Danio rerio: one gene and its partner. The protein of the gene in region 2 purifies or fractionates together with the protein of the main gene of each other region. This does not show direct contact. Links are inferred from orthologs where the notes say so. Each region holds a gene or a part of one and is shown on either strand. Other genes may lie near its edges.

What was found.
Region 1: the proteins of slc9a6a (region 2) and mblac2 purify together in Homo sapiens (co-immunoprecipitation; 3 studies listed by BioGRID and IntAct, counting the BioPlex papers as one, with this or other methods). This does not show direct contact. The link is inferred for Danio rerio from reciprocal best matches to the Homo sapiens genes SLC9A6 and MBLAC2.

The regions. Positions count from the first base shown.
Region 1 is NC_133180.1:52,720,490-52,725,109, forward strand, and holds the start of mblac2 (acyl-coenzyme A thioesterase MBLAC2), read right to left. Parts: upstream 2,923-4,620; coding exon 2,481-2,922; intron 1-2,480. UniProt on the Homo sapiens protein: Acyl-CoA thioesterases are a group of enzymes that catalyze the hydrolysis of acyl-CoAs to the free fatty acid and coenzyme A (CoASH), providing the potential to regulate intracellular levels of acyl-CoAs, free fatty acids and CoASH.
Region 2 is NC_133189.1:36,152,622-36,156,449, reverse strand, and holds part of slc9a6a (sodium/hydrogen exchanger 6a precursor), read right to left. Parts: intron 3,675-3,828; coding exon 3,561-3,674; intron 3,185-3,560; coding exon 3,073-3,184; intron 1,118-3,072; coding exon 964-1,117; intron 31-963; coding exon 1-30. UniProt on the Homo sapiens protein: Endosomal Na(+), K(+)/H(+) antiporter. Mediates the electroneutral exchange of endosomal luminal H(+) for a cytosolic Na(+) or K(+).

The DNA of each region.
Region 1 (4,620 bases), on a different chromosome or scaffold from region 2:
CCACAAGCTTGGCACACCTGTGTTTAGGAATTTTTGCCAATTCCTCTAAAATTAAAAATGTGGAAAAAGTGAAGCGCTATAAATACTTTCCATATGCACTGTACATTCACTTGTAAGCTAATACTGATTTAAGTCAGTAAATGCTGCCTCACACAAACATAATTTAAGTGCTATAAAAAAGTCTTTTACTTGCATTTTTCCATCAAAATAAAAGCTACGATAAAAAACGTTATTATTATTATTATTATAATTATTATTATTAAGAAAATTAGATTTTAATTTTCTGTCAAATAATCGTAACGAACAATTTAATTGACTTTTTAAAAATGTATACAGTAGCAGACTCAGTTTGCAAAACAATTAAATAGGCCCACTTGATTTCATTTAATGCAGTGGAAAACAGCTAAAAAATATTTATGCATTGTTTATTTATAATTTATATTTATAATTTTTATATTTATATTTATAATTTTTATATTTATATTTTGTTAAATATTTATGTTTTTGTCTTCTTTATTTCCAAAGTATGTCATAATATAACATAATATAATTTTTATTTTGTTCAATCTGCTAAGAAATAAACAATAGCTATTTGTTTAGATTTCCTATTTTAAATGTTGAACTGCACAATCTTCCACAGCGGTCTCAAATAATTGCAATGAAATTACAGCAAGCTGATAGGTCTAAGGGTTATTGAAATACTATTATAGATTTATTTAACATAAAATTTGATTAAAAAATGTTATATGTATTAACACACACATACTATGTATACTGTATTCAGCACTTTTGGTAGTTCAATTTGCTTGAGATAGCACTACAATATCTTGAATAACCTTAAGTCTTTAGATCACAATGATATTTAAAAAAAATGCAATACAATGCCAAATTAAAAATGCAATTTGTTCACAGACAGTGACAACAGATCTATTCATATGCAATAGTACAACCAGTGGTGTAAAGTAACTAATTACAAATACTCAAATTACTGTAATTGAGTAATTTTTCTCAGGAATTGTAATTTACTAAGTAGTTTTAAAAACGTGTACTTTTTCTTTTCCTTGAGTAAAATTTTTGTGCTGTATCAGTATTTTTACTCCACTATTTTCCTTCAACCTGCAGTCACTACTTTAGTTCTTTCTTGTTTATGGGGATCAGAAAAATCTGTCCTGTGATTTCTGTCCATTCAAATCGCACATAGAGGGTAAATCGCATCATACTGAACTACTTCAAAACATGAGTGCTTTATAATTACAGCAAACTTTTTGGAAGCATTAAAAGTGTCCAAGAAAATGCCCAAAATTTTTACACACATTGACCCAGAGACTGTTTAGATGCATGTCACTGATGAAAAGATCACATATGTTTACTGTATGACGACCAAAATGGCCTTAAACACCTAGCAGGCACAAGACGTCAACATGTCGTCAGGTTGACTTCAGAACTCAATGTCAGGTCAACATCAATGTCCAACCTAAAACCAACCAAATATCAAAGTCTAATGTTGTTACAGCTTGACGTTGTGTGGACGTTACCACTGTGACGTCTATCAGATGTTGGATTTTGGTTGCCATACCAGATGATTAAATGTCAGTATTTGATGTTATTATGATAAAGGTTAAAGATATTGGCTTGATGTTGGATTTTGGTCACTTTCTAACAGCCTAAAAACCATCCAAATATCAACATCACTTGAAGTCATTATTGGACATCGAAATAATGTTGTCCTTAAACGCTGGCTAGCCATTGAATTTTGGTCAACTGACATCACAACCTAAGTCAAACCTAATAATAACGTCTTATGGCGTTGTGTACCTGCTGGGCTATAACTAGATGCACTACAGAATGTTACGTTTACACACATACACAAATTACATGTAAACGCATCAGCTTTTCACGGCATAATACTCACTACTCTTGAGTACTTTTTAAAGAGCTACTTTTTACTCATACTTTGAGTAAGATTTACAACATATAATTTTAATCTAATTGCACTGCATTTTAAGGCAAGTAAAGGTACTTTTACTTGAGTATGATTTTTCAGTACTTTTTCCACCACTGAGTACAACTCACTGCAGAGTAGTCCATTGACTGAGAATTACGGGGAGGAGGTCATGTGTGGTTTACTCTGCATCCGCTGGGTTTCTGCCAGTGGTCCACTATAATGCTGCATTCTCCACCATCAGGCAGATTATAAAGCCACATTAGACAGTCGGCTTGGTTTTCACTAACCACTGACATGTCCTCTGGTGAGTTTAGCATGATCTGATTTGTTTCGATCTTTCTCTGGAGCTCTTCAAAAAGATATTATATAAGGATGCCCAGAATGAAGTCATGCAATTCAGTGTATTTTACTACTGTAATAGATTATGCCTTGAACCCTGCAACGGTGCATAAATGCATGCACACATAAAAAATGTGCTTAAAACGTATAATGTTGCATACACTGGCACAGTAGTTACAAGTAATTACAAGCCCACCTTCTTGTAATATATGGGTTGGTGTGACCGCTTTCACTCTGTATTGCCTGGCTCTCCATCCAGGCGAAGGAACCTCCACAATCTCGCGGTCAGAGAGCCATGTCACGGTCTCGAAGTTGTCACCGTTGGCCAGAGCGTCCACCTCCGCTTTGTGCACGCCCACCTGTTGAAACTGATGCAGCCCACCCGAATGATCAAAATGCACATGTGTGCCGATGGCCAACAGCGGGTTTTTACGCTTCGCGTCGTCCCCGAGCAGCGATTTCTCTTGGATGTATTCAGGCAGGCTCCGTAAACCCAGGCCGGTGTCTATGACGACGTCCTGATGAGAACCGCGAATGAGCCAGATATTCGCCCTGTTCCCCGATTCATAAAACCGTTCCTGGATCCAAAACACGCCGTTTTCCAGCGACTTGTGCGCGTACCAGTCGGTCGCAGCCATCCCAAATTCATTCAAGATGTTGTTATTGCATACGAGGATAGATGTATGGTTGTTAGCCTATAATTCTGGCTTCAAATTTTGCTGCTTCAGCCGCAGAGAGGAGGACGCTGACACCCTGTTCCGCAAGCGTAACACGTCACCAGCCATAACGACGTGACGCGCCGTAGAATCGAGAATGCTATTGGCCATTGATGAAATTAGCGCCTCCCAAGTTATGCATATTAATAATAAAGCACAAGCGGTATTTAATTAATTGCCTATTTGTACTTAATGCGTCTGAAAGCTGTAAAGGTAAGTGGTTGCTATTTGAATATGTTTTTTTTTCTGTTGCTGCTCCGCGACGGAGCGTAATGGAGATTTAAATAAGTAAAACGTAATGGATATTTAAATAAGTAAAACATTATATCTGCATTTATTTACCCAAATGCTGTTACAATGTATCTTGTATGTTAAATACAATGTTTCAATCATATATCTCGTATTTCTTACAAAGATACAAGTGTATTGTTGTAACATGCTGCGTTTTTGCGAGGTGAATTCTACTCAAATAGTAAAGTAGCCTAATATTAATCGTATTCAGGTGTGCTTTGGCAACTCAGAAATTAAAAGACGATCAAACGAGGGTTGTTAGTCTAAGTTTACTAATGCCAAACAGTTATTTTGGGGAAAAATAAATAAATATACTAAATTAACTAAACGACTAAATAAATAAAAAAAAGAGGAAACCAAACACATCAGAGTTGCTTGTCTCGAGAACAATTATGCATAGATTTCCTTAATGCATAATTTAAAATACTGTTAAAAATAAATAACAATAAATGACTGTAAATTACAAATAATTAAATAATAAATGAATAAATACATCCTTTATATAAACAGTGCATTATGCCCTGTTTTATGTTCTTGCATTTACAGTTGCATAACAATTAAATACACTACTTGAAACTATTGATTTAATTAAGTTTTATAGTTTAAAAGAAAATAAATTACATATGATTGCTCAAATTCATGTAGCAGTTCAATAATTCATTTTTTTTAATCCACCTTTCAAGAAAATCTAAATTAACATATTTGAAATGTTATTTTATGTGCATTACTGAACAATCTCATTCTGTATTTTATGAACATTTCCTGCTTGTTATCAAACTATTTCATAACTGTAAAAGAGGCACTTCAACCATATCATAATGTTAAAACCGCTGTCATAACATTATTTATCAATATGTGGCTCTTTTTGGATTCTCGGAAGCTATACAAGTTAAACATGTAAAACAGGAAATATGCTAAGACCATTGTTTTTGTTTACATCCTTCAAAAATACTACAAAGGGACATATTATATTGATTGACAGTTTTGCATCACTATTCATGACATCACCATCCAGTGACATCACAGTGTAGTCCTCACATCCTCATAGTGTTTAGCATGTATAAGCAATATGGATTGAAAAGTAGTCAACAACATCCTAGCTATTGGTTCTTAGATGCCAGCTAACAAATCTTGACACTATGCAATTAAAACGACATGTATCTCACTGTTATATTATATTACATAATATTTGCTTGTTGGGCGACGCAGTGGCACAGTAGGTAGTGCTGTCACCTCACAGCAAGAAGGTCGCTGGTTCAAGCCTCAGCTGGGTCGGTTGGCATTCCAGTATGGAGTCTGCATGTTCTCCCAGCATTCGCGTGGGTTTCC
Region 2 (3,828 bases):
GAGTTCTCATGATCTGTGTCCACTCCAACACTGTCAAAAACAAAACACATGTTGACAACAATAATTATGACTATAAAGACAACTTTAATGTTCTGTTTATTAATTATAATAAAATGTTGCCCTTTAAAATATTGAGCGCTTTAAAACAGGATTCTGATTGTCTTGCTTTAGTTGCTTTAATTCTAAATATTCTGTTCCTTTTGGGAGAAAGACTTCAGGTGTTTTTCTGCTGTTTTTTTCATTATCAATAGACCCAAACCCCTTAACAGTGTTGATTAAAATTCTTCTTAAATTCAGTACAGGCTGATGTACTGTAGCCTTTGCAACTTTTTAGTTTTTAGCCTTTTTACATGCTCTTAGAAAGGCATATCCCCTAAGCTATTACACCACCACCACAAGCCTGAACCGTTGATACAAGGCAAGATGGAAACTTGCATTAACAAGCAGTTGTAACTAACAAATTGGATATTTTACCTTATTATTTATATAATCATTTAGTGTATAATTATGTTTTCCTGATAATTTCTTGATTGGTGCATTGTATCCATGCATGATTTCTGAACTAAGATGAACCGAATAAACAAACAAAAAAAAGATACTGTTCCTTTATAGCATTAACATCATAGCTGTGATGAAGACTTTAGTACTGTTACACACACACGCGCACACACAAACACACACACACGCGCACACACGCACGCACGCACACGCATACATCCTTGGTTTGACCAGGAATTAACAAGAAAAAGTTGTTTGAATTTCATCCCTTTCTAATTAGCATTTTAGCTGTCTAATTAGTTCAGAGCCAAGTTTTAAATGGCTTGGGATGTCTACATATTATTCCCTGTGCACAGAAATGGACAAAAACAAGAACAAAGGCCACGTTTAATGAGTTACTCATTCCCATCGTATGTTACATGACAGGAAAAGGTCGTTCAGGCTAAAGGTGAGATTGGAACTGACCGGATTTTCTGACAGGACAGCATCTGAGTTGTGCCTCCACCGCAGATCCAAACCGTGAAGAAGACCACCAGCAGCGTGGTAGAAAACATCATCTGCCGTGCATATGTAGCTGTGTCCCTGATGGACAGGGCAAAAGTCATGGCACCACGAAGACCTAATGAGAGGTAGAGCAATAACAAAAAAGGCTGCATAATTGGTTGACATATATGATACATGTTGTTTTTTTGCAAATCTGACCTGTTGACCCAGTTTAAGGTCAAGAATGTAGATTTTCTTTCAATCACAAATAATTTTCCTAACTTAGTTATCTGTTTAGTGACTATTTTAAGTAGACAATTCATGGGTTTGTCTCTCGCAAAAGTTTAAATATTGATGCTAACCTATTATGATTAAACTTTTGACCCATATGCAGTATACGTTGTACTGCCAAGCTCATCATAAAACAGTAAAATGTGGTAGGAAAAAGAAAGAAAGAGCATGATAAGCCTAAGGGGAATTCACAACAATTGTGAAAATCTACTTTATTTTTGTAATTCCACTAGTTGAAACTAATAACACAGAAACTACATACAGTTGAAGTCCAAATTATTACTTTTTTTTACAAATCCTTCCCAAATGATGTTCAACAGAGCAAGAAAATTTTCACAGCATTTCAAGTAATATTCTTTCTTCGGCATAAAGTCTTATTTTATAAAGCCTATATCTTTATTTTGGCAAGAATAAAAGTAGTTTTTATTAAAAAAAAAACATTTCAAGGTCAAAATCATCAGCCCGCTTAAGCAGAATGTTTTTTTTTTAATTGTCTACAGAACAAACCATATTATACAATGATTTGCCTAATTACCCTAACTTGTATAATTAACCTAGTTAAGCATTTAGATGTCACTTTAAGCTGTATAGAAGTGTCTTGAAAAATATCTAGTAAAATATTATGTCCTGTCATGATGGCAAAGATATAATAAATCAGTTAAATTAGTTATTACATTTATTATGTTTAGAAAAAAAAAATATCTCAGTTTACCTGAAATTGGGAAAGGGGCTAATTCAGGAGGGCTAATAATTCTGACATCAACTGTACATGGAAAGTCTTTTTATTTAAATCATGATTTAATATATCTTGGAAAAAAACATAAGTTTAGGAAGACTAAGTGAAGTTTATTTATAAACTAATCATGTGCTTATGATTGTCCACAGCTGGTCCTGCATTAGCTAACACATGATTCACCAATCAGATGATTCCTAATTCACTATAAATAACCAGAGTTTCTTACCTCAGTATCTTCATCTTGAAATCCCTCCCACCCTACTCCCTTCTCCTTTCTAGATTTTGTAACATAGCAGACCAGTGATTAGCACTGTTGCCTCACAGCAAGAACGTCACAAGTTAAAGTCCCTACTGAACCAGTTCACATTTCTGTGCAGAGTTTGCTTGTTCTCCCTGTGCTCGTGTTGGTTTTTCCCGGGTTCCCCAGTTTCCTCCCACAGTCCAAAAACATGCAACCAAAGTAAATTGAACATTCTAAATTGGCATCATAGCTTAACTCTTAGTAAGCTGTATATCTCTCTTTAGCGTCCCTTTATCTGTCATTAGCCAGGAATAAGTCGGGGGAGTTCATTAAGATCTACCAGAGCTCAAACTCACCTCTCGCCCTGCTGACAGGAGGGAGTCCAGGGCTTGAGGATCTTATGAGCTCATAGCTCTCTCTAGGGATAGCATGCCAAACACACTTTATGTAATTTCAAAAGTTCACACCTAGCTGATGATTGATAAGAATTACATTTTCTGGGCTGAACTATCCTCTTAATCTACATCCGTATAAGTCAAATTGAAAAAAAAATTACCTTTCATTCATAATAGTCAGAGAATGACTTTCATTTTTAGATCTCATATGGAAGTGCTTTGTATTGAGTTTTCACTCTTCAAACTATTAATCAACTAAACAGATTTGAATTTGGAAGCTAACTTCAGGATCAACTCAGGATCAAGAAAAACAAACACACAAAATTGGTTCAAGTCTAACCCACTTAACCTTACGACTTTTGGCTTTTACCTTGTTTCTCTTCAAAGATTAAATCTTGGCTGGCTATTACCAATCTCAAGGCACAAACCTGCGAACATCATCATGTGCTGGAAGTTGGAGCTGATCTTGTTTCTACGGCCCAAATTCAGCAGGAAAGAGAGTGGATAGATGTTCGCCGCTCTGCCCAGAAACACGGCCAGCTGGGAGGAGAAGTGTCAAGGAGAAACTGCAGAAATAAAGCTAATACTGCACTGACTGCATCTACAATCCCTTCGGAGCCAGGACATTGTGCCCTTCCTGAGGACTCTGTTAATTTAAAAAAAACAGTTCTGGGCCATTGATTTCTGGGAAACACAATGAGCTGTAACACCCTGGACATATCACTCAACAACAGCCAGCCACTTCCTTGATGGCGCTTAAGCAAAGTACTGCCGTCCAACGTGAGCAAATATGTGGCTTTTAATAATAGTACTTCATCAGATTTTCCACATGTTTTGCAATTGCTGAGAGTATTTTTACTATTGTCTCATTTCTGGCTATTTTTGGCCAAGGCACAAAGATGAAGTTTTAGGATACAAATGCGCACACTATGAAGATCGGGTTAAAGACGTGGTTCTGGAAGGTAAACAATGTCAAGCCCATGTAGGAAAATATGAAGTTCTCAGCCAAGAAATTCAGTAGCTCGAATAACTGTAAGAGAGCACAGTGACATGAAATCATAGTGAGATGTTTATGTTACAAAGATACTTCACAGAATGAAAAGAAATATTCACTTCTGACAAGTTAAGCAGTAAAAGCATTACATTTAATAGAAAGAGCAAAAAGAAAATATATGAAGTTGTTA